2 linked regions of the Callithrix jacchus genome follow. The protein of the gene in region 1 purifies or fractionates together with the protein of each later gene. This does not show direct contact. Links are inferred from orthologs where the notes say so. Each region holds a gene or a part of one and is shown in the gene's direction. Other genes may lie near its edges.

Region 1 (10,557 bases):
GAAAGCAGGAGCCACAGCAGGCAGTAGAAGAGGACAGACATTGCGAAGACCCGAGGAGTGCCAAGTCCCAAGACGTTGCTGTCCCTGAGTCCAGCAGCCATGCGCCGTCTGTGAATGGCTGGTGTCCTGGGGACCACATGGGTATGCATTTGGGCGAGGGGGGGTGTTGGTGAGCTTACAGGCTGAGAGCAGTACCTACTGTGTTTGAGCTTGGGGGAGGGTCTGGGAGAAGATGTGGAGGATCCTGCCAACCTTCAGCCACAACCCCCGAGTCTGTTCCCTTGGGTGATGGGGTCAAAGCTTCCTTACATGTCAAAGCATTTGACTGAAACGACCCATGGGAGAGGTTACAGTGCACATGAACTTTAGAACATTCTGTGACTACCGTGGGTCTTCCGATTCAAAGCTGTTCCTGTCTACAGCTTCCCATGGAATGACTCCCTGAACTCCCAGCCTGAGTTTTTTTCTGTGACGCTTGAATTTAGAAGGGTGGGGTTCAAAAGTTAATTCTCCTCTACCTCTATGTAGTTGGGCCTTTCAGAACATAGCATGGTGCTCTTGGTGTTGGGGACCTGTGTGCTGTGGCTGTGCTTGGGCACCACCCCCAGCTGGAGGGTCTTTTGTTTTCTTTAGGACTTGGTCGGGCATGCCTTGGCAGGCACCCACCACAGAACACATTTGTTAAGTGAAGGGTAGAGAACGTCCTGGCGGCTTGGTATGGGGGAACGAGCTTGAGTGAGGCCTCCTCTGTGGTCTGGAAGATCCGATTATGGCAGTGCATCTGGGGGCCAACAGAACCCTGAATCAGGAGACTGATTTGTATTAATCCAACTCTTAAGAAAGGAATTTATCGATAAAAATGAAATGGTATGGAATAGATTGTGGAACACGGGCGCGAGCTGGCGCCGACTGTGGTGCTGGCCAGCATGCTGTCAGAAGCGTTGCACTGAGGCGACGGGTGGGGGTAAAGAAGAGGCAGGCCTTCAAGTGACAGCGACACAAGATGGCAGCCACCACAGGCTCGGACAGTTTATGAAAACCAAATATACAGCCTTAAAATAGAATGTGGCCTTAAATACCAAGAAGCACCCCCCTTTGTAAGATTTGTAACAAAAATTAATACGAATGGAGTTAATAGTTCTAATGGAGTGGTGGACCCAAGAGTCATATCAGTGCTAGCAAAATGGCAGAATTCATATAGCATCAATATTGTCCTACAAGAGCTTCAGCGCCTAATGATGTCTAAAGAAAATACGAAATTCCCTCAGCTGCCTGAAGGTCAGTGTTACAGCAATTAATCAAAAAGAAAAACCACAGGCCTTCCCCCCCCCCCATTAGATTTAAGCAGTCATTTTCCACAGTAGTAAATTTTCTAGGTACACCTTGTAGACCTCAAAGTACTGGAAAGGAAGCTCTCATTCAAAGGACACTTTTTTTGAGACGGAGTTTCGCTCTTGTTACCCAGGCTGGAGTGCAATGGTGTGATCTTGGCTCACCGCAACCTCCGCCTCTGGGGTTCAGGCAATTCTCCTGCTTCAGCCTTCCGAGTAGCTGGGATTACAGGCGTGCGCCACCACGACCAGCTAATTTTTTATATTTTTAGTAGAGATGGGGTTTCACCTTGTTGACCAGGATGGTCTTGATCTCTTGACCTCATGATCCACCCACCTCAGCCTCCCGAAGTACTGGGATTACAGGCTTGAGCCACCGTGCCTGACAAGGAAATTTATCTCAAGATACTGTAAATGATACTAACTTCTTGTCCTTTTGAAATACGTAACTTGTGCTATAACAAAAGAAAACGTTGCACCAATATTGTGCCTGAGCTGTGCTCTGTGCTGCCCTCGCAGCAAAGCGGAGTTGGCTTGTTAGTGCAGGAATTTGAGGGACATCACTTGAGCACTTGCGGTATGCCCGGGTCCATGCCGGGTGCATGCCAGGTGCTGGCTGTACATCCTGAGCAGTGCTCCCTGGGCCCTCAGGACTCCCTGCCAGAGGCAGAACCGCACAGTGATGGTTCATGCTCAGCAGGCAGGCACTGGGGGCTGCATGGGCTCTGTGGGAGAGTGCCTGGCCCCATCCACCCTCTGTACTGTGCACCAAGGAGAGTGGCTAAATGGGCAGGGTACCAGCCCCAAAGGCAGGAGGCGCAGCACGTTGGCACCAGGCACACTGCTCTGCGTGGCCAGGTCCCTGAACTGTGTGGACAAGAGGGAGCCATGGATGCTGTTGTGCCAGGGCAGAGGACACTTAGTCTGGAGGTGATTGAGAATTGGAGGCAGGGAGAGGCGAGGTCATTAGCTTCCTGCTAACAGGCAGGGCTCTTGCAAGCTCTCTGGAGATGCACTCTTCACAACAACCCCTTCACACAGCACCCTGCAGGTCATTTGTATGAAGGAAGGTGAGTTTATTCCAGGGGCTTTGTGGCTGGCTGGGCAGAGGACTAGTTCAGAAACGGTCTCTACAACCCATTGAGGGTGCTGAGTGCTGTCCTTGTCCCGACGTGCATGGTGGACCTGCACAGCATTGCTGATGGGGACTAGGTTCCCCCTGGACAGGGCTCAGGTCGGGGTCCCCATGGCAGCAGCCAAGCTTGGCCGTTCCCTTCATCTCTGTGGCCATTCAGGTGTCGGGCTGGTCCTGGGGCCCAGGGCCTCTCCCTTAGGTGAAGTGGAGTCCATTTGGATCTGGTTTTCTTCCCTCCCTCTGACAGACTGAGAACTTACACTGCTGGTTAAGGAGGGTTTGGAGGGTTTTTTTGCTTCCAAGCTTTTTGTTATTTTGCATGTTTTCTTTTTCATGAATTGACTTGGACAACAGCCTTCTCTGTTTCATCAGAACTTTAGTAAATAAGCATTTAGGCTGGGCACCTAATGCACACTCACTCACACCTGTGTCTGCCTGGTAGTTCTGACCTGGGATGGCAAGGTGTCGGCGGTTAGCCAGGATGCTATTGAAGAGAGCAGACTGGCCCGGACCCAGACCGTGGTTGACGACTGGGACAACGAGGCAGAACATGGCTCATGCCTATAATCCCAGCACTTTGGGAGGCCAGTGCAGGAGAATCACTTGAGTCCTCAGGAGTTTGAAACCAGCCTGGGCAACATAGTGAGACCCTATCTTAGAAGAAGGAAAAAAGAGATAAGCGGTTGTTTCCCTGGTGGGTTATTTTCAATGTTGATAAATGTTTCTTGGCTGCTCTGATTGCAGGGCTGGACCCAGCCCCTCCTGTGTCTTGGAATGGAGAGCAAGAGTCTGATGTGGTACAGGAACTGCTCAAATACTCATCGGATAAAGCTTACGGGAGAAAAGGTACTGGCTTTGAGACAGCACTTGTTGGCCCTTGATTGGTTTATTCTGGATGAGGGAAGGTGTGGAATGGACCCTAGTGTACTGTGAGTGTGGAGGGCGGGCATCACTTGAGAGTAGGAAGAAGAACCTCAGCGCTTGCTGGAATCCTCTTTAAACCCTCAGCTGTGACATGAAGGTGGCTTCCATCCGTGCAGGATTCAGAACAGCTGCTTCTGAGGGTTGGGCAGGGTGAGGAGCCCAACACATGCTGGTCTTGGGTAGGACACGGGCAGAGTGGCAAAGCTCTTCCAATGTAGGCAGTGTCGCTTCTTACTTGGAGCAGGATTTTATTCAGACTTCAAGGCAGAACATGAAATCCTTGTTCCTCAGACGAGGTCATGGGTTTAGAGAGAACTGAACTGTGCGGTCATGGGTTAGGGTTTAGCTGAGAGGGTATCCAGCTGTCCTCCTCTTGTCCTTCTGTTCGCCACAAGATGGCGCTCAAAATTGTTGACTGACTGTGAGTATAGACTAGTCTTGTTGGTAAATGACACTCTTGAAGTGAAGCCACAGGGTACCTACGAACCTGCACGCTCGCTCACACCTGTGTCTGCCTGGTAGTTCTGACCTGGGATGGCAAGGTGTCGGCGGTTAGCCAGGATGCTATTGAAGAGAGCAGACTGGCCCGGACCCATACCGTGATTGACAACTGGGACGAAGAGTTTGACAGAGGGAAGGTATGATGCTTAATGGTGCCCACAGGCCTGAGGCAGCAGGGTGGCGTGTCTCAGCTTAGGGCCGGGGCAGGGAACTGCATGTGACCAGGGCAGTTGGAGGTGGCAGCAGCGGTGTGAAGCAGCTGAGCATAAGAGCCAGGCTGCCCAGGCCTGTCTGGGCGGGTGGCCGTGGACAGGGCATACATCCTCGCAGCTTCTGCAGCTTTGTCAGTAGAGGGGGACAGCAGGGTGCCGTGCGAAGGGGTAGTTGTGAAGAGTGGGTCTCCAGAGAGCTCTCGAGAGCCCTGCCTGTTCGCAGGAAGCTGGTGAACTGCATGGAGCCCCATGAGCCAGGAAAGAACCTTTTTGGGAACTGTGATACCTGTGATTCTTGGTCTAGGAAAAGAAAATTAAAAAATATAAGAGAGAGAAGAGGAGAAACTTCAATGCCTTCCAGAAACTTCAGACTCGACGGAACTTTTGGTCCGTGACTCACCCAGCAAAGGCTGCCAGTCTCAGCTACCGCCGCTGACAGCACCGCTGTGGAAGAGGTCGGTTCCTAGGGGGTGGGCATGAGGGTGGGGGGGCCATGTGGGGGGGTTTGTGTGTATGTGGGGGGGGGTTGTGTATAGAGGGTGTGGTGGGGTGTGTCGTGTGTGTGTTTGTGTGTGATGTATGTGGGCTGTGTATCTGGCACGTGTATGTTAGGTGGTGTGTATCTGATGTAGGTGCATCTGTGGTATGTGTCCTAGTCACTTGGAGAAAAGTGTGTGTGGGATATATGTGTATAAGGGGGTGCCTGTAGTGTGTGCGCATTTGTGGTGTGTGTCCTGGTCACTTGCAGAAGGGTGTGTGGGTTGTGTGTGCAATATGTGTGAGATATGCGGTGTGTGTATATCTGGCGTGTGTCCCCTCACTTGCCAAAGGGTGTGTAGAATGTGGGGTGTGTATATCTGGCATGTCCTGGTCACTTGGAAGAAAGGTGTGTGGGGTTTGCCGGCTGCATCGAGGTGCTGTGCCTTGGGTTCCTGGGTTGGACCCACACCGAGGGTGGCCATGGGAAGATGTCCTGTTTCTCACCGTCAGGACTGCTATGCTTTGTTCTGCAGCCTCCTGGAGACAAGGCGTCCCTTCCTGGAACCTGTCCATGTGGACCTGAGGGAGCCTTCTGTGTGGGCTCTGCTGCCATGGTAGGAGCTCTCCCAGTATCAGTGTCCACAGACGACCCGATGTAGAGCCTTTGAGGCTTCTCTAGATTGGGACCTCTGGTGACATTTCCAACCAGTCCTGCAAGAGAAGCTCCAGTGTGTGGGGGGAGCAGAGGTGGCCGTACGCCTGCTAGACATCTGCGTCGGGCTGCGTGATCTCATGTTCATGGACGGTGTCTGTGCTGACAGAGGCTCCTGTCCCTAGTTGGGGCTATCGAGAGAGTGGGGGATGATGGCCACTCGTCTCCCAGGTGGCCTCCCGGTGCGTGGCTGGTTGCTCTTGGTGAGCCGTTCCTTGCTCCTTGGGGCTGGCGATACCGTTGTGTCTGAGCCTGCCCTCCCTGCTTCCTTGGTGGGGCCCCTTTGTCTTTTGGCCTTACCTGTCCTTAGAAAGGAAGAGCCCTGAGGCCAACCCCAGCCAGCCACCTCTCCCTTTTATGGAACTCAAGAGGGTGACGCTGCTGTGCAGCCCTTCCTTGTGAGTAACTCTTGACTGTCCTGCAGAGCAGAGGCTGTCTGGGGTCCGGGGAGCCCTTGATATTACCTGCAAATACATCTGCTTTCAAGGCCACTGTCGATTCTGAGACGGCTGTGCTGTGGCTTCCTTCGCAGATGCAATAACCCACAGGTCTTCACTGAGGTGGGGGCCTTGGGGGAGAATTCTCCATTTATTTTACTACTTAATACAAAACATTTATTTTTGACCAGGCCCGTGGCTTCCATTAGCAATATATTTCCTTTCCCAGATATGCAAATAGTGGCTTTGTTTGCCCAATTTTGTGAGTGCTTTGGAATTTAAATGATTGTATAACTCAAGAAGATTACTTTTCTATCTTGCTCAAGCTGTGCCTGCCAACTTGTAATTAAATAAATATGGGAAATCCTCAGAGAAGGGGATGTTTTCAAGAAAAAGATGCCCTCATAGGAGTGGGAAGCGTGAAGGTGACAATGAACACCCTTCCTTGCCGGGTCTCTCCCTGGCGTTTTCCCCCGGCGTCATCGCAGCTGGAGATGGACTTGGCGTTGGACTCAGAGCTGCTTCGGTGTGGCTCTGCGGGGCCGGAGGCGTCCTGCCGTCTGGGGGGCTGCCTCGCTGTCTGCATCCCCTCTTCCTGGGGCAGGTTTGCTTCCTGCCTCCGTGCTTGAGACCTGGGTGGTTACTGGTTGTAGAAAGAATTGCCTTTTTAATAAGGGAAGATACATTTATTTTTTCCATGTGGGTGGGTGGCTCTTTTTGGATTTTCTTCCGCTTTTTACATTTCTGTTTTTAGAAAGGTGGGAGAGAATCATGCTCCTGTGTGGCTGCCTCTGTCCCAGCAGCAGCGAGTGGAGGCTTGCCCTGACCGGGTCAGGGTGTCCTCTGCGCTCTCCTGTGGACCAGTCTCTGAATGTTCAAAGATGAGGGCCTGGCTTCCACGCTCTGGCTTTTGTAACTTACCTGGGAGGGAAAGCACGTGCCTTCGTGGGCAGGGTGTGTTCCTCTTCCTCTCAGGTGTTGACTTGCATTCCAATGTGAACTGTTTCCTCTGCCATGTGTTCTGTGTGATGTTCTGTAGTTGAAAATTAGTTGTCTGCTAGCACAGAATCTATCTCCTGCCTTTCTCTCCCTTCTCTCCTCCAAATCAGTCTCTTCCCTTCTCCACTAGAAACTGTAAAACCATTTCCTGAGGAACATACGTTGGTTAACTCTTGGGCAGTGGTGAGCACGAGATGACTTCTGCAGCCTTTATCACTGTTGGATGCAGTCCCGTCCCTTCCCTCCACAGGAGCCATCAGCCAGATGGGGGGGAAAGATGAGGCCCAGTAAACGAGCTCAGCTTCTAGGTGATGTGCACGTATGGAGGTAGATGTCAGTAAGTCACGCCTTTGTCGTAGCAGTCAACTTGATTGACTTAGGATCTGGGTCTATTGAGTTTCGTGCTTGGAAATGGAGCCGGAGGGAGTGGGGCCTGTGCACAGCGCTGCCTCTCCCGGGTCCTTTCTCTCACCTGCCCCGCATCCTGGTTGCATGGCTGCACCTGTCTGTGTGCTGCACCTCCTCTCCAGGGGCCTGGGGAGTCCCACATGTTGCCAAGATCTTGGTGCAATAAAATCCTGTGTTTTTGTGAGTCCTGTATCTTTGTTTTTTCCCTTGATTTTTAAAAAGGTAACTCCCAACCAGGGTCTCGCTGATTCCACCTGTTCTGGAAGTTGAAGTTGGGCTAGGAGGGGCAGGTAGGTCCCCGCACAGAGTCCAGTGACCAGGAGGTTACATTTGGTGAGAGCAGCCCTGGTGAATGGGGTGACCAGGAGACTGAACCTTGGGCACAGGTGGGTGGTGGTGCAGGGGGTCCAGTCATGAATGCTCTCCTCAGCTCTGTGACTTGTGTGTGTGGCTCGTTACCTCCTCCTCCTCGAGCAACTTGGAAACCTCCACCCCAGGGTGTCCACCAGAGGATGTCATGTCTTCACTTCTCCCTAGGGGTTTGGCTGGACACCCCAAAATGAGGACAACCAAGTAAGAAGATGGGAGGTAAGGCAGCTCTTGGACCCAAACCAAAGGGGTTGCAGAGGGTGGGGCACACTGTTGACCCAGAGGTCTTGTCTGAAGGCATTTGCATCATAGCCTGGGCAGCGGTTGAGGGGTTCTGAGACTCGGAGAGGTGGTGACCTGACACCAGTGCCGGGCACAGTGGTGACACGGGCGAGACTGGTTTTTCCATTCTGTTTTGGTTTGAGACAAAGTCTTGCTCTATCACCCAGGCTGGAGTGCAGTGGCACGATCTCAGCTCACTGCAACCTCCACCTTCCAGGTTCAAGCTATTCTTCTGCCTCAGCCTCCTGCATAGCTGTCATTACAGGTGTACACCACCATGCCCAACCAATTTTTGTATTTTTAGTGGAGATGGTTTCACCATGTTGGCCAGCCTGGTCTCAATCTCCTGACATAGCGGTCCGTCAGTTTTTCCATTCTTAACTGCTGTTTCCCACATACTAGGGCTGCTTCTGGGTGTGTAAAGGTGAACACACTGATGTGGTCTCACAGGCGGCGGGCAGGTCCACGGGCAGGACTGACGGCTCCAGGGCAGGGCGGGTGCTGTTAGGGAGATACAGGGAGGCCACGAGGATCCTGTGACGAGTTCTGCCTGAAGCACCATGGGGTGAGGTGACATTCAGAAAGAGGGTTGGATGTGGGAGCTGGCTAGCGGGACTCGGCTGGTAACTAAGTCAGGTGCAAAAGTGCAGGGCAGATTTTGGTTGACAAGAAGCGTCTGCCATTTGTCTGATGTGCTTTCTAGACTCCTGAGGCTGAAAGTGGATTCCAGGCTGCCTGATGGCCTGACAGGCTGCAAGTAGAGCTCAGGGGACAGCGGGTGAGGATGACCAGACCACCAGGCTGGCCAAGAAGTGGCCGAGGCTGGAGCTAAGAGATTGACAATAGTAGCAGAGGCTAGAAGTGGGGTCAGTTGGGTATTTGGGAGAAGAGGCGAGGTGACAGATATATGGTGGAAGGTTCTGGGTGGAGTTTAAGATGATTTCTGCTAGGGTGGGCAGTTGAGTTCAGAGGCCAAGTAGTAGAGAAGCAGGTGGCCCACTGATGGTTTCAGGAAGGCCTTTAGGTGGCAAGCGATTCAGTCTGACATAGTTGACATGTTACCAGAACAGGGAACCCAGGAAGAATCATAGGCATGGGAAGTAGGCAGTGGGTGAGCTCCAAGTCCTCCAGTTAGGAAAAAGCCCAGGTGTCTGGACACTGTGAAATCAGGTGGGCATCCATTTGTCCCTAACACTGATAGGGCTCATTCTAACTATGGCAGCGACCTTCAGGCCAGTTTAACAATGGATGCTGTGAGAATCCCTGCCTCGAGTCTTCATAGCTTGGACAGCCTTAGTGCAGATGAGGATGTGGGTAAAGCGAGGGGGTGGTGATAGAGGAGGACTGTGTGCAGATGGGTCACGTGACATGCGGAGGGGCAGCTTTCTGTGCCTTCTCACCTGAGCCAACTCCCCGGAGCTCACACTTTGCCCAGAGGTGGCCCTGCTGCTGCTTTCTACAGACCCCACCATGACTCGGCCCCCACTCCTTCCGCATCTGGACTGGGGATGGATGACCCTTGGAGAAGGCGGTCTGGGTGCCATGGACTCGGCTTTCAGGGCTGTCTGGCTGCCCTTCACTGGTCTCTGCCTGCCTTTTTGGATTTCTGTCCTTGGTCTTCAGGCAACTCCTTCCTCTCTCATCTTTTTCAGTGATGATTGCAAACTGTTTTGCTCTCCCATTGCGTATGTGCCTACTACCCTTGGCAAGTGACTTCTGATGCTACCTCAAGAATTCCCACCTCCCCCAAAAAATTAAACAACACGGGAAAACCAGAGCTAAAACCAACTTCTCTCCCTCTGTTCCCTTCTCCCTCCTTCCTCAGGGTTCTCAGTGCTCCTCGTGGGGCAGCAGGAGCACTTGGGGAGAGGCATTTGATACTGACGTATGTGGCATCAGAATCTATGGGTGAGGCTTGGGCATTGGCATTTCAAACCTTCCCAGGGGGGATTGTAGCTAGCAGCAGGGTTGAGAGCTGCCGTCCTGGTCCCGTCTCAAACTTGAGTGAGTGCCAGCATTGCCAGGGAGTCCTTAAAACAGCAGTTGCTGGGCTCCTTCCCCACATTCTGATTCAGCAGGTCTGGGATGAGGCCTGAGAATGTGCATGTCCAACAGTTCCCAGGGCAGCTGCTGGGCAGACCCACTGTTCCAATCTGACATCTCCCAGAGAGGCTGCGTGGTTGACATGGGAGAGCGGGAAAGAAGTGTAGTGTGGGGGCTGTTCCTCCATCCTCTGTGGGGACCTATACTAGAGATGCTAGACGAAGTGTACCCTCTGTATGCTGGCACCCCACCTGTGCCCTTGAAGCCAACCTCTTCCACCCTGTGGACCTTGTTCCACAAATTACCCCATTTGCCTCCCATGTCTTTTCTCTTTCCTTTTCTCTTGGGGACATGTTCAAGCGTCTCCCATCCTAAAAAGCCCTGGTTTCCTTGTGTCCCCTCTCAGCCACCCTCTCCCTCAGTTGACATTCAGTTTGTTCTGTGTTGATTCTCCATAGTTCTTGGTCTAGTCATCACTCCTCAGTGACCTAATTCCCACTTGCCACCGACTTCTTCCCAGAATTTGACACTTCACCTCTGCACCCTGGAGCTCCTCTAAGATGTGAGTCAGTTGTATCCCATGCACACTCTGTAGATCAAGCCCAGAATCAACCGATCCAGTCAATACATCCCACTGAAGAGTCAGTCGGCCGGTCCAGTCACTTCATCCCACTTAACAGTAAACTGATCCACCCTCTGTCGGGATCTCTACTGTAGACACTGG
Region 2 (10,557 bases), about 28 Mb from region 1:
TATTTGCTTCCCTGATTATGCTTTTCATGGTGTTGTTCTTGTTAGAAAAAACAATCTGATGATTTTCCTTCATAATTTCATCACTTGGCTTTTAAACATAGCTGGCTAACTCTTGTATTTTTATAGTTTTGGTTTTTGTGTTTCTGAGACAGGGTCTTGTTCTGTCATCCTGGCTGGAGTGCAGTGGCAAGCAGCTGGAACTCTAGGCATGTGCCACCACCCCTGACCAATTAAAAAAAAATATATCAGGACCGGGCGCGGTGGCTCAAGCCTGTAATCCCAGCGCTTTGGGAGGCTGAGGCGGGTGGATCACGAGGTCAAGAGATCAAGACCATCCCAGTCAACATGGTGAAATCCCATCTCTACTAAAAATACAAAAAATTAGCTGGGTGTGGTGGCGCGTGCCTGTAATCCCAGCTACTCGGGAGGCTGAGGCAGGAGAATTGCCTGAACCCAGGAGGCGGAGGGTGCGGTGAGCCGAGATTGCGCCATTGCACTCCAGCCTGGGTAACAAGAGCGAAACGCCGTCTCAAAAAAAAAAAAAAACGTCTTGTAGAGATGGGGTCTTGCTGTGTTTCCCAGGCTGGTCACAAACTTCTGGCCGCTAACGATCCTCCTGCCTTGGCCTCCCAAAGTGCTGGGTTTACAGGCATGAGCCATCACACCTAGCCTGTTAATCGTTTTATGCACTGCTGGTTAAGGGTTTTCTCCAAGGGAAACATCAACTTTTAGGCTCATGTTTATTTTCATAAGAAAAAGAACTCTGAGAAACATCATCAATCACCATTGTCTTTTTCTATGCAAGCTACAATTCTGTCAATGCCTAGTAATCCCACTCCACCTTTTTTATAGGAAGCCCCTTCTTCACAGGACATCCTGGTGTTCCTCACTGGTCAGGAGGAGATTGAGGCCATGAGCAAAACCTGCCGCGACATTGCAAAGCACCTCCCAGACAGCTGCCCTGCGATGCTGGTCCTTCCTCTGTATGCCTCCCTGCCCTATGCACAGCAGCTCCGAGTCTTCCAAGGGGCCCCAAAGGTGAGTACACCACCTCTTCTGTCCAGCCCCATTCTGGGCACCCAGACGGATCCACCAGTGAGGTGTGTGTACCTATTACCAGGCTCCAGATGAGGTGTATGGGATGGGATGCCCAGGTACCAGATCAGCTCATTGAGAAGGTGCAGGGATACAATGCACAGAGACAGATACAGCGTTCCTATGACAGGAGCAGGGAGACAGTTGTTGGGATGAGGGAGAGTATAACAAAAGCTGGAAGGTAAATGAGTGACTTCTGAGAACCAGCATAAATTGCATTTGTCCATAGTGCTATTTATTGTGTGCCTTTGCCATGCCAGGCACTGTGCTAGCATTTATATCCACTGTCTCTCATCCTTGTGGGAACCAGCAAGGCAGGTTATGATCCCATGGGGGTCCCAAGGCCCCAAGAGGGGAAGTAAATTGCTCAGGGGGCCACATAGTAAGTCACTGACAGGGCCACGATTCCAACCCACATCTACTTGCTTCTGATTCCCATGCTTGTTCCACCACATCTCATTGCCTCACATTTACCTTTAAGACTGCAACGTCCCCTTCCCCCGCCCAGTTTAATGACCAACCATTGATATTAATGACTGCCATTAATAATGAAGTCATCTTTTCTTGGTCATGAGCGAATTGTGGAAATTAATGGTGAGAATATGTTTGAACACTTCTGAATCATCTGTGTGTCATACGGCTTTTTGGTTTTCTTCCTCCTTTTAGGGCTATCGCAAAGTGATCATTTCAACCAACATCGCTGAAACCTCCATAACCATTACAGGAATAAAATATGTAGTTGACACGGGCATGGTTAAAGCAAAGAAGTATAACCCTGGTGAGAATTCGTAGTTCATGAATGTCTCTCCTGTGACTAGTGAGCAACCACTGAAACTGTAGTCCCACAGTGTTCCCCTGAGTGAGTGTTTGATGTTTGTAACGAACAGATTCGGGTGGCAGGCACCACGGGTGAGATAATCTACAATCTGAGTCCACAAAGGAGTCCTGAGGCAGGTATGTGAGACAGGAAGTAGAGGCAGAAAAGAACCCAGGTTTAGCTTATGTGGGAAGACAGGGTCAGGGACCTGGGCAGAGGGTCTGGTACCCTATCAGAAGTTGCTGTAAGACCAGGGACAGCTGGGTAACAATCGAAGGCTCTCATCAGAAAGTATATATATGGCTGGTTTGATCTCCCAGGTTTCCCAGGAAGGAATCAGACCCGCCGGCTGGGGTGAGGCATGGAAGGTGAAGCACTGGCTTCTCCTGAGAAGGTGCAGTGGAAAGCTAACTTAAGGTCATCTTTACTTGTATCTGTTTTATACTTTGCTTAATTCCACAGAGGATTTAAGGCCACTGCATTTGTTGTTCCCAGTTATTGAACTGAAATGCTGTAGTAAACATTCGAGGGTCCTGACTTCACTCATGTGTCTTTTTGAGATGACATAGATGAAAGAGCTTGAGTCTCCATTGCCTGGCACAGAATACACCTTTATCAAGGAAATGAACCTCATTTACTGCTGGAAAACAGACATCACAGTATTTCCATCTTAAAACAGAACTGGGAGGGAGGATAAAGCACACAAGTGATTTGAGACATTTAATTTCTGAGTCACTGATAGTATGATCTATGACCACCATCCTAGTTTGTTGGAACTGTCCCGGTTTTAGCACCCCAAATCCCACATCCCAGGAAACCCTCTGTCCCAAGCAAACTGGAGGGGTTGGCCATCCTGCCATCTAAGCCAAGACCTCGGAAACTATGCTTCTGGCCCCTTGCTGCATGCATGAGGTTTTTCTGATGTGTTTGGAACAGATTTCACACCGGGCTTTTTGCAAAGCCTTATTTCACTAGGGCCAAACCACTGCGGAGCAACCTGGTTTTGCGCTATCCAATGTGCTAGTGTTGAGATTTTCTGAACCCCAGTGTTGCTGAAAGAACCACGGGTGTACTTTTTTCAACACTAGAAAGAGTTTGTTCATGTGATAAAGCACTAATGGGGCTCACTCTCCATCCAGACAGTGGTCTTGAGGTGTTAGCAGTGCAGCGGGTATCGAAGACCCAGGCCTGGCAGCGCACAGGGAGGGCTGGCCGAGAGGACAGTGGCATTTGTTACCGGCTCTACACGGAGGAGGAGTTTGAGAAGTTTGATAAGATGACTGTGCCAGAGATCCAGAGGTAGGCACTAGGCTCCTGCACTGCTGCTGTTTGTCCCCATGTCTCTCCCGCTTGCCCAGAGCTGCCGCTTTTACTCACACTCCTTGTCGAGTGGTTCTGACTCACTGGTAGAGGGATCAGGTCATGACCCTGGTCTCACGCTCTTCACAGGTGTAACCTGGCCAGTGTCATGCTTCAGCTTCTAGCAATGAAAGTCCCAAATGTGCTCACCTTTGACTTCATGTCCAAGCCATCTCCAGGTAAGTGAAATCCACAGTTTTGCAGAAGGTGGGTGAAGAGAAAAACAACAAATGGACGTGTCCAAAAATAAAATATTTTGGTCATCCCCTTTTGTTTATTTAATTTTGTGGATAACAACATTAACTATTTGAGAAGCATCTTAAAATCATGAAATCGTAGATAGATAAGTTGATTGACTTTAAAGAGACAGGGTCTCACTGTGTGGCCCAGGTGGGAGTACAGTGTCTATTCACAGGTTCCATCATAGTGCACTACAGCCTCCAACTCCTGGGCTCCAGTGATCCTACCACCTCAGCCTCCCAAGTAGCTGGGGCCACAGGCATGTGTCAATGCTCCTAGCTGTGAAATTATAGATTCTGTACTATCAGCACCATCCATAAGGTTCCTTGACCTCTAGAACAAGTGAAGGTCATCATGTGAGTTCTTGGGGTACTGCAGAAATTTAATGAAATTGTACTTTTATCAGCACAGGGACTGCAGAGATCACATTTCTTTGCTTTTCACTGGAATTTGATCAGTCTCTTCTGTTCATTAGTAATTTCTCTATAGAGGAAGAAAATAACTGGAATTCTTTATGAGAGTAGCTTTGGTACCTGGCCTCTCATCAGTGCATCATTTTCCTTTTCCTCCCACCCCCACCCTTTTCTTAAGAAATGCAATTGGTTTAAAAAGAAAAAGGAGGCCAGGTGCAGTGGCTCACACCTATCTATAATCCCAGCACTTTGGAAGGCTGAGGTGATCCACCCACCTCAGCCTCCCAAAGGAGGAACTCCTGATCTCAGGGGTTCAAGACCAGCCTGGCCAACATGAAACCCCATGTTTGAACCCCAGGATGAAACTTCATCTCTACAAAAATACAAAAATTAGCCAGGCAGGGTGGTGGGGGCCTGTAGTCCCAGCTACTCAGGAGGCTGAAGCAGGATAATTGCTTGAACCTGGGATGTGGAGGTTGCAGTGAGCCGAGATGGCACAACTGCACTTCAGCCTGGGTGACAAAAATAAAAACAGAGAGGAAGGGAAGGGAAAGGGGAAGTGGGGGGAGAGGGGGGAGCGGACGGAGGGAAGGAGGAAGGAAGGGAAGGAAGGAAGGGGAAGGGGAGCGGGAGGGGAGGGGAGCAAGGGAGGGGAGGCTGGGAGAAAGGAAAAACACGAAGTAACCCATTGATGGGTATACAAGGGTCCTGCCCTGATCCTCAGGTTCATAGTTTTTTCCCCTAGAACAACCACTGGAACCATTTTTTAGTAGACTTCTAGAGCAATGTATGCATATGTGAGTATATGTAGTGTGTTTAATTTATTTATTTTTGAGACAGGGTTTCACTCTGGTTTTCCAGGCTAGAGTGCAATGGCTCCTTCTTGGCTCACTGCAGCCTCAACCTCCCACATCAGCTTCCCGAGTAGCTGGGACTACAGGTGTGAGCCACCAAGCCACCCTGTAGTATGTTTTTGTTTTGTTTCTCTGGTTTTTTTTTTTTTTTGAGACAGAGTGTCGTCACTCTGTCGCCCAGGCTGGAGTGCAGTGGTGCCATCCCAGCTCACTGCAGTCTCCACCTACTGGATTCAAGTGATTCTCCTGCCTCAGCCTCCCAAGTAGCTGGGACTACAGGTGTGCACTGCCACACCTGGCTAATTTTTGTATTTTTTAATAGAGACAGGGTTTCACCACGTTGGCCAGGCTGGTCTTGAACTCCTGACATCAGGTGGTCCTCCCGCTTCAGCCTCCCAAGGGCTGGGATTACAGTCATGAGCCACCATGTTCAGCATGTAGTATGTTTTAAAACACAAATAGCAACACACATTGAGCACTGTTCCATGCTTGATTTTTTTTTCATTGCTAAATCCTGACAAACAAAAGAATAAGATACAGAGGGGTAAGGAATGATTAAAATCCAACACCTGTATACCCAGTCGAAGCCCTGAGGACCCCTCCCTGGCTGCCCTCACCTCCTTTCACTCCCTTGGGGTAACCACTCCCCCACATCGTGTTTGTAATTGCCTTGCTTTTCTTTATTTTACTATATGCATATGTATCCCTAAACCACCTGTTGTTTCAGGTTGTAAGTTTATGTAATTCATTCCTTATTAAGCTGTTTTCACTCAGTATGTTCTGTACAGTTTGTGTTGATGCTTTTACACACTAAGTGCTATTCCATTCTGTGAATAAACGAAAATGCATTTATCCATCCTCCTATTGACAAAATTGCTTTAAAAAAACAGTGAAAAGCACATTGCTTTTTTTCATTTAATACACTTTACAGATCATTCCTTATTGGGATATATATATTTACTACATCTTTAAAAATGCTTTTTTATTCTCTAATAGATAATATATATACAAGGTTCAAAGTTTAAAAAATATAAAATAGTAAATAGTAATAATGTCCTTCTCACCTTCTTGTCTCCCAGCCTCCCAGCTGGCCTCTGACACAACTGGTATTTCCATTGTTTTGTGTTTGGTTCTGGCAATATGGTCTCTGTGCAATGTATGAGTAAATCTACAGGTGAAACTCATAAGTGTAACACTGATGGGTCAATGGATGTATATATTCAAACTCTACATACATATCGCCAAATTACAGGTCACTTAAAAAGGGCATGGTGGCTTACGCCTGTAATCCTAACACTGGAAGGCTGAGGCAGGCAGATACCCTGGGGTCCAGAGTTCAAGACCAGCCCGGCCAACATGGTGAAACCCTGTTTCTACTAAAAATACAAAAATTACCCAGGCGTGGTAGTGTGCGCCAGTGGTCCCAGCTACACAGGAGGCTGAGGCAAGAGAATCGCTGGAACCTGGGAGGTGGAGGCTGCAATGAGCCAGGATCACCCCATTGTACTTCAGCCTGGGCTACAGAGCAAGACTCTGTCTCAAAAAAAGAAAAGGGAATTGAACTGAAGACAGTGATGTCATTCTTCAACACGTGCATCGGGGGGTAGTGGTGGTTGCAAGTTTTGCTATTGTTTGATGTAGAGTTATCAAAAGCTCCCAGAAATACTGAACTAGCTGCAACTTTATCCTTTCTGGATTTTCGGCTCCTTTTTATGTCTCTGTTTCTTTAGATCACATTCAGGCGGCCATTGCCCAACTGGACCTGTTAGGTGCTCTTGAACATAAGGATGACCAGCTTACCCTGACTCCAATTGGAAGAAAGATGGCAGCATTTCCTTTAGAACCCAAATTTGCCAAAGTAAATGATACCCTCTCCTCAGTCCCCTTTCTGTACATTACAGGTTAGCCATCCCAAAGTAGAACCATTAACCCAGTGCTTCTAGATTAATCTCACTTTTTCTCTTAAATAATTACCAACCCCTAGTTTGCATATAACCCTGATATATGTTCAGTGTGGGATTCAATGATACCAAGTCAAGAGTCCTACCCATAAGAAATTTGGAACTCTGGGCCAGGCACAGTAGCTCATGCCTATAATCCCAGCTCTTTGGGTAGCTGAGGCGGGTGGATCACGAGGTCAGGAGTTCAAGACCAGCCTGGCCAAGATGGTGAAACCCCATCTCTACTAAAAATTACAAAAAAATTAGCCAGGCGCAGTAGCACGCACCTGTAATCCCAGCTACTCAGGAGGCTGAGGCAGGAGAATCACTTGAACCCGGGAGGTGGTGGTTGCAGTGAGCCGAGATCATGCCACCGCACTCCAAGTTGGGTGACAGATCAAGGCTCTCAGAAAAAAAGGAAAAATATTTGGAACTCTGTAGGGAAGGCAGTCATCTGTTTTATTTCATATTAAAGAGTAAAATAACACTAATGTACATAGCCATGGTTTCAGAAATACCTGCCCTTTAACTCCTTAGAAAGGAACCTGCAAAAGCAATATGCAGAGATAGTGTATTCTAAAGCTGGGAGAAAGTTTACACAATTTTAAATTTTGGTTTGCAGACCATCCTTCTGTCCCCCAAATTCCACTGTACAGAGGAGATCCTAACCATTGTCTCCCTGCTGTCTGTGGACAGCATCCTCCACAACCCTCCTTCCCGGCGGGATGAAGTACAAGGGGTCCGGAAGAAGTTCACATCCAGTGAAGGGGATCACTTTACCCTGCTCAACATCTATCGGACCTTCAAAAACATAGGTGGAAATAAGGTGAGCCTTGTCTTGTTCCTTTTCTCCAGTGACAGCTGCTTTCCCTTCTTCGCTGGTATGTGATTCCCTTTTTGTACTGAAGGCGTATACATACTACGTTTTCCCTTTTTAGCTGAATTATCTAAAGAATCACAAAACGAAAGCCAGACATCATTTTAGAAATGTCTGAATACTGGGCAATTACCAAGGAAGATGTGTCATTCCGGTCTTTGTTTTGAATGTGTTTAATTCAGCAAGACTTAAGTGACTCCCAACCCATCAAAATTTAATTGGAGCTTAATAAAGTAAATATGTCTAATAATGAGAGTGCATACCAATTAATGAGTGCTTATTCTGTGCCAAGCCCCATGCGAAGCACTTTTTAATGTATTATCTCATTTAGTATAATAATCCTAAGAAATGAGCACTGTTACTAGTTTTTATATTCATGAAACATATAGTCATGGAAATGAAGCTTTGTGTAGTTGAAAAACTTGCCCAGGGCCAGGCAGTTTCTCAAGCTTGTAATCCCAGCACTTTGGGAGGCCAAGGCAGGTGGATCACTTGAGCCCAGGAGTTCCAGACCAGCGTGGCCAACATGGCAAAACCCCATGTCTACTAAAAATACAAAATTTAGCCAGGCATGGTTGTACACACCTGTAATTCTAGCTACTCAGGAGGCTGAGGCACGAGAATCATTTGAACCTGGGAGGCAGAGGTTGCAATGAGCTGAAACCTTGCCACTCCAGCCTAGGTGACAGAGTGAGACTCTGTCTCCAAAAAAAGAAAAAAGATGATTATGGGCATGATGGCTAACGCCTGTAATCCCAACACTGTGGGAGGCCGAGGCAGGCGGATCACCTGAGGTCGGAAGTTCAAGACCAGCCTGACCAACATAGAGAAACCCCATCTCTACTAAAAATACAAAAATTAGCTGGGCATGGTGTTGCATGCCTGTAATCCCAGCTACTTTCGAGGCTGAGGCAGGAGAATCACTTGAACCCAGAAGGCGGAGGTGAGTTGAGATCGTGCCATTGCATTCCAGCCTGGGCAACAAGAGTGAATCTCCAACTCAAAAAAAAAAAAGGAAGGAAGGAGGGGAAGGGAGGGAAAAAGAAGCCTTATATAAATTGATTGGGCATTTATATTTCCTTTTCTGTGTCTGTTCATATCCTTTGTCTATTTTTCTACTGGGTTGTTGATCTTTTTCTTAATGACTTGTAGAGCTTTTAAGATTTATTCTCACCAGGTGTGGTGGCTCACACCTGTAATCCTAGCACTTTGGGAGGCCGAGGTGGGTAGATCACCTGAGGTCAGGAGTTTGAGACCAGCTTGGTGAAGAGTTCGAGACCAGATGGTGAAACCCTGTCTCTTAAAAAAAAAAAAAAGATCTATTCTGGAGATTCTAATCTTTCATTGGATATGATGATACAAATATTCCAATCTGGGAAACTTGAAGTTTTTCTTTAGTTTAAATTAATACTTTTCCTTATAATTCATGTTTTTTGATATAAAGATATTTTCCTACATTCCTTTTTTGGCACCTGAAGTTTTTCCTCTGAATTCAACTGTGTTCTAAAAACGTCATTATGTTCTCTCCATAGAGATGAGAGGATTGTTGGCTGGGCATGGTTGTGGCTGCAGATAGTTCAAGTTGTTTGGGAGGCTGAGGTGGGAAGATGGGTTTGCAGTGAGGTAAGATTGTATCACTGCACTCTAGTCTAGGCAACAGAGCAAGATGCTAGCTCTATAAACAAATAAATAGTGAATGAATGGGTTGTACTATCACCCTTTCTCCTATTCAGGATTGGTGCAAAGAGAATTTTGTCAACAGCAAGAATATGATGCTGGTAACTGAAGTCCGAGCACAGCTGAGGGACATCTGCTTAAAGGTATTATCTGTTCCTAGTGTTCTTTGGGTGACATAGCTGTCACTTTGTTCAAGGTAGAATTTTTAAAGTGCTTATTGCTAGTGATTATAAAAGGAATTCTCATTGTAGAAAATTTCACAAAGAAGGAAAAAAGTTACCCACAATTCCACATCTCAGTAGTTTAGTCTGTTTCCTGATAGCCTGTTTTTTATTGCATGTTTTTACATAGTAAATTACATGATATGTATAATTTATATTTGGTTTTATAATCTTCATAAGCATTTTCCAGAGTTAGAATTCTTTATAAGAATTTTTTTTAGTGGGAATATCGCCATTATTTTCTTTGAGATTACAAAAGCAGTGCTTAGTTGTTAAATACTGACACAATGCAGAAAATAGTAATTTATAATGTAGAGAGTTTAAAAGTCTCCCATAATCCTGCTCCTCCAGAGATAACTGCTGTTAACAGTTTGAGGCAGATCCTTCTAGAATTTGTTTCTGTTTGTATGTTTTTGTGCATATGTGTGTGTGCCTGTGTGTGACTACACAAACACATGGATATGTGTATATGATGTACATGTTCCACAACTTGCTTTTTTCCGCGTGACACATTTCTTTTTTTCTTTTTATTATTTGTGATGGAGTCACAATAATAGCCTGCACTCCAGGCTGGAGTGCAGAGGCACGATCTTGGCTCACTGCAACCTCTGCCTCCCAGTGAAAAGCAGTTCTCCTTCCTCAGCCTCCCGAGTAGCTGGGATTGCAGATATGCGCCACCACGCCTGGCTAATTTTTGTATCTTTAATAGAGATGGGGTTTCACCATGTTGGCCAGGCTGGTCTCAAACTCCTGACCTCAGGCGATCCTCCTGCCTTGGCCTCGCAAAGTGCTGGGATTCCAGGCATGAGCCACAGCACCCAGCCTCACGCGACATATTTCTTGAACACTTCCTGTGGCTGGGCTTTCAGTGCTGCATGTGTCTGTCTCATTCGTTTTGGTGACTTCATAGCATTTCATTGTATTCACTGCAATTTATTTAAGCCTCTAATGTCATTTTGGTTCTATTATAATGACCATCCTCTTCCATATGTGCTGTGGTGCACACAGAATGAATTTCTCAATGGGGGAATTTAGATTTTGTTAGATGTTGCCAAAGTGTCCAC

What was found. The genes of interacting proteins can lie anywhere in the genome.
Region 2: the proteins of USP36 (region 1) and DHX33 purify together in Homo sapiens (affinity purification with mass spectrometry; 5 studies listed by BioGRID and IntAct, counting the BioPlex papers as one, with this or other methods). This does not show direct contact. The link is inferred for Callithrix jacchus from reciprocal best matches to the Homo sapiens genes USP36 and DHX33.

What each region holds. Positions count from the first base shown.
Region 1 is NC_133506.1:134,552,218-134,562,774, reverse strand, and holds the end of USP36 (ubiquitin carboxyl-terminal hydrolase 36), read left to right. Parts: coding exon 1-141; intron 142-232; exon of another isoform or gene 233-285; intron 286-970; exon of another isoform or gene 971-1,434; intron 1,435-3,210; coding exon 3,211-3,312; intron 3,313-3,912; coding exon 3,913-4,028; intron 4,029-4,407; coding exon 4,408-4,539; 3' UTR 4,540-4,558; intron 4,559-5,116; 3' UTR 5,117-7,329; downstream 7,330-10,557. UniProt on the Homo sapiens protein: Deubiquitinase essential for the regulation of nucleolar structure and function. Required for cell and organism viability.
Region 2 is NC_133506.1:106,978,343-106,988,899, reverse strand, and holds part of DHX33 (ATP-dependent RNA helicase DHX33), read left to right. Parts: intron 1-852; coding exon 853-1,038; intron 1,039-1,761; coding exon 1,762-1,873; intron 1,874-3,051; coding exon 3,052-3,211; intron 3,212-3,361; coding exon 3,362-3,450; intron 3,451-6,508; coding exon 6,509-6,636; intron 6,637-7,340; coding exon 7,341-7,544; intron 7,545-9,328; coding exon 9,329-9,415; intron 9,416-10,557. UniProt on the Homo sapiens protein: Implicated in nucleolar organization, ribosome biogenesis, protein synthesis and cytoplasmic dsRNA sensing. Stimulates RNA polymerase I transcription of the 47S precursor rRNA.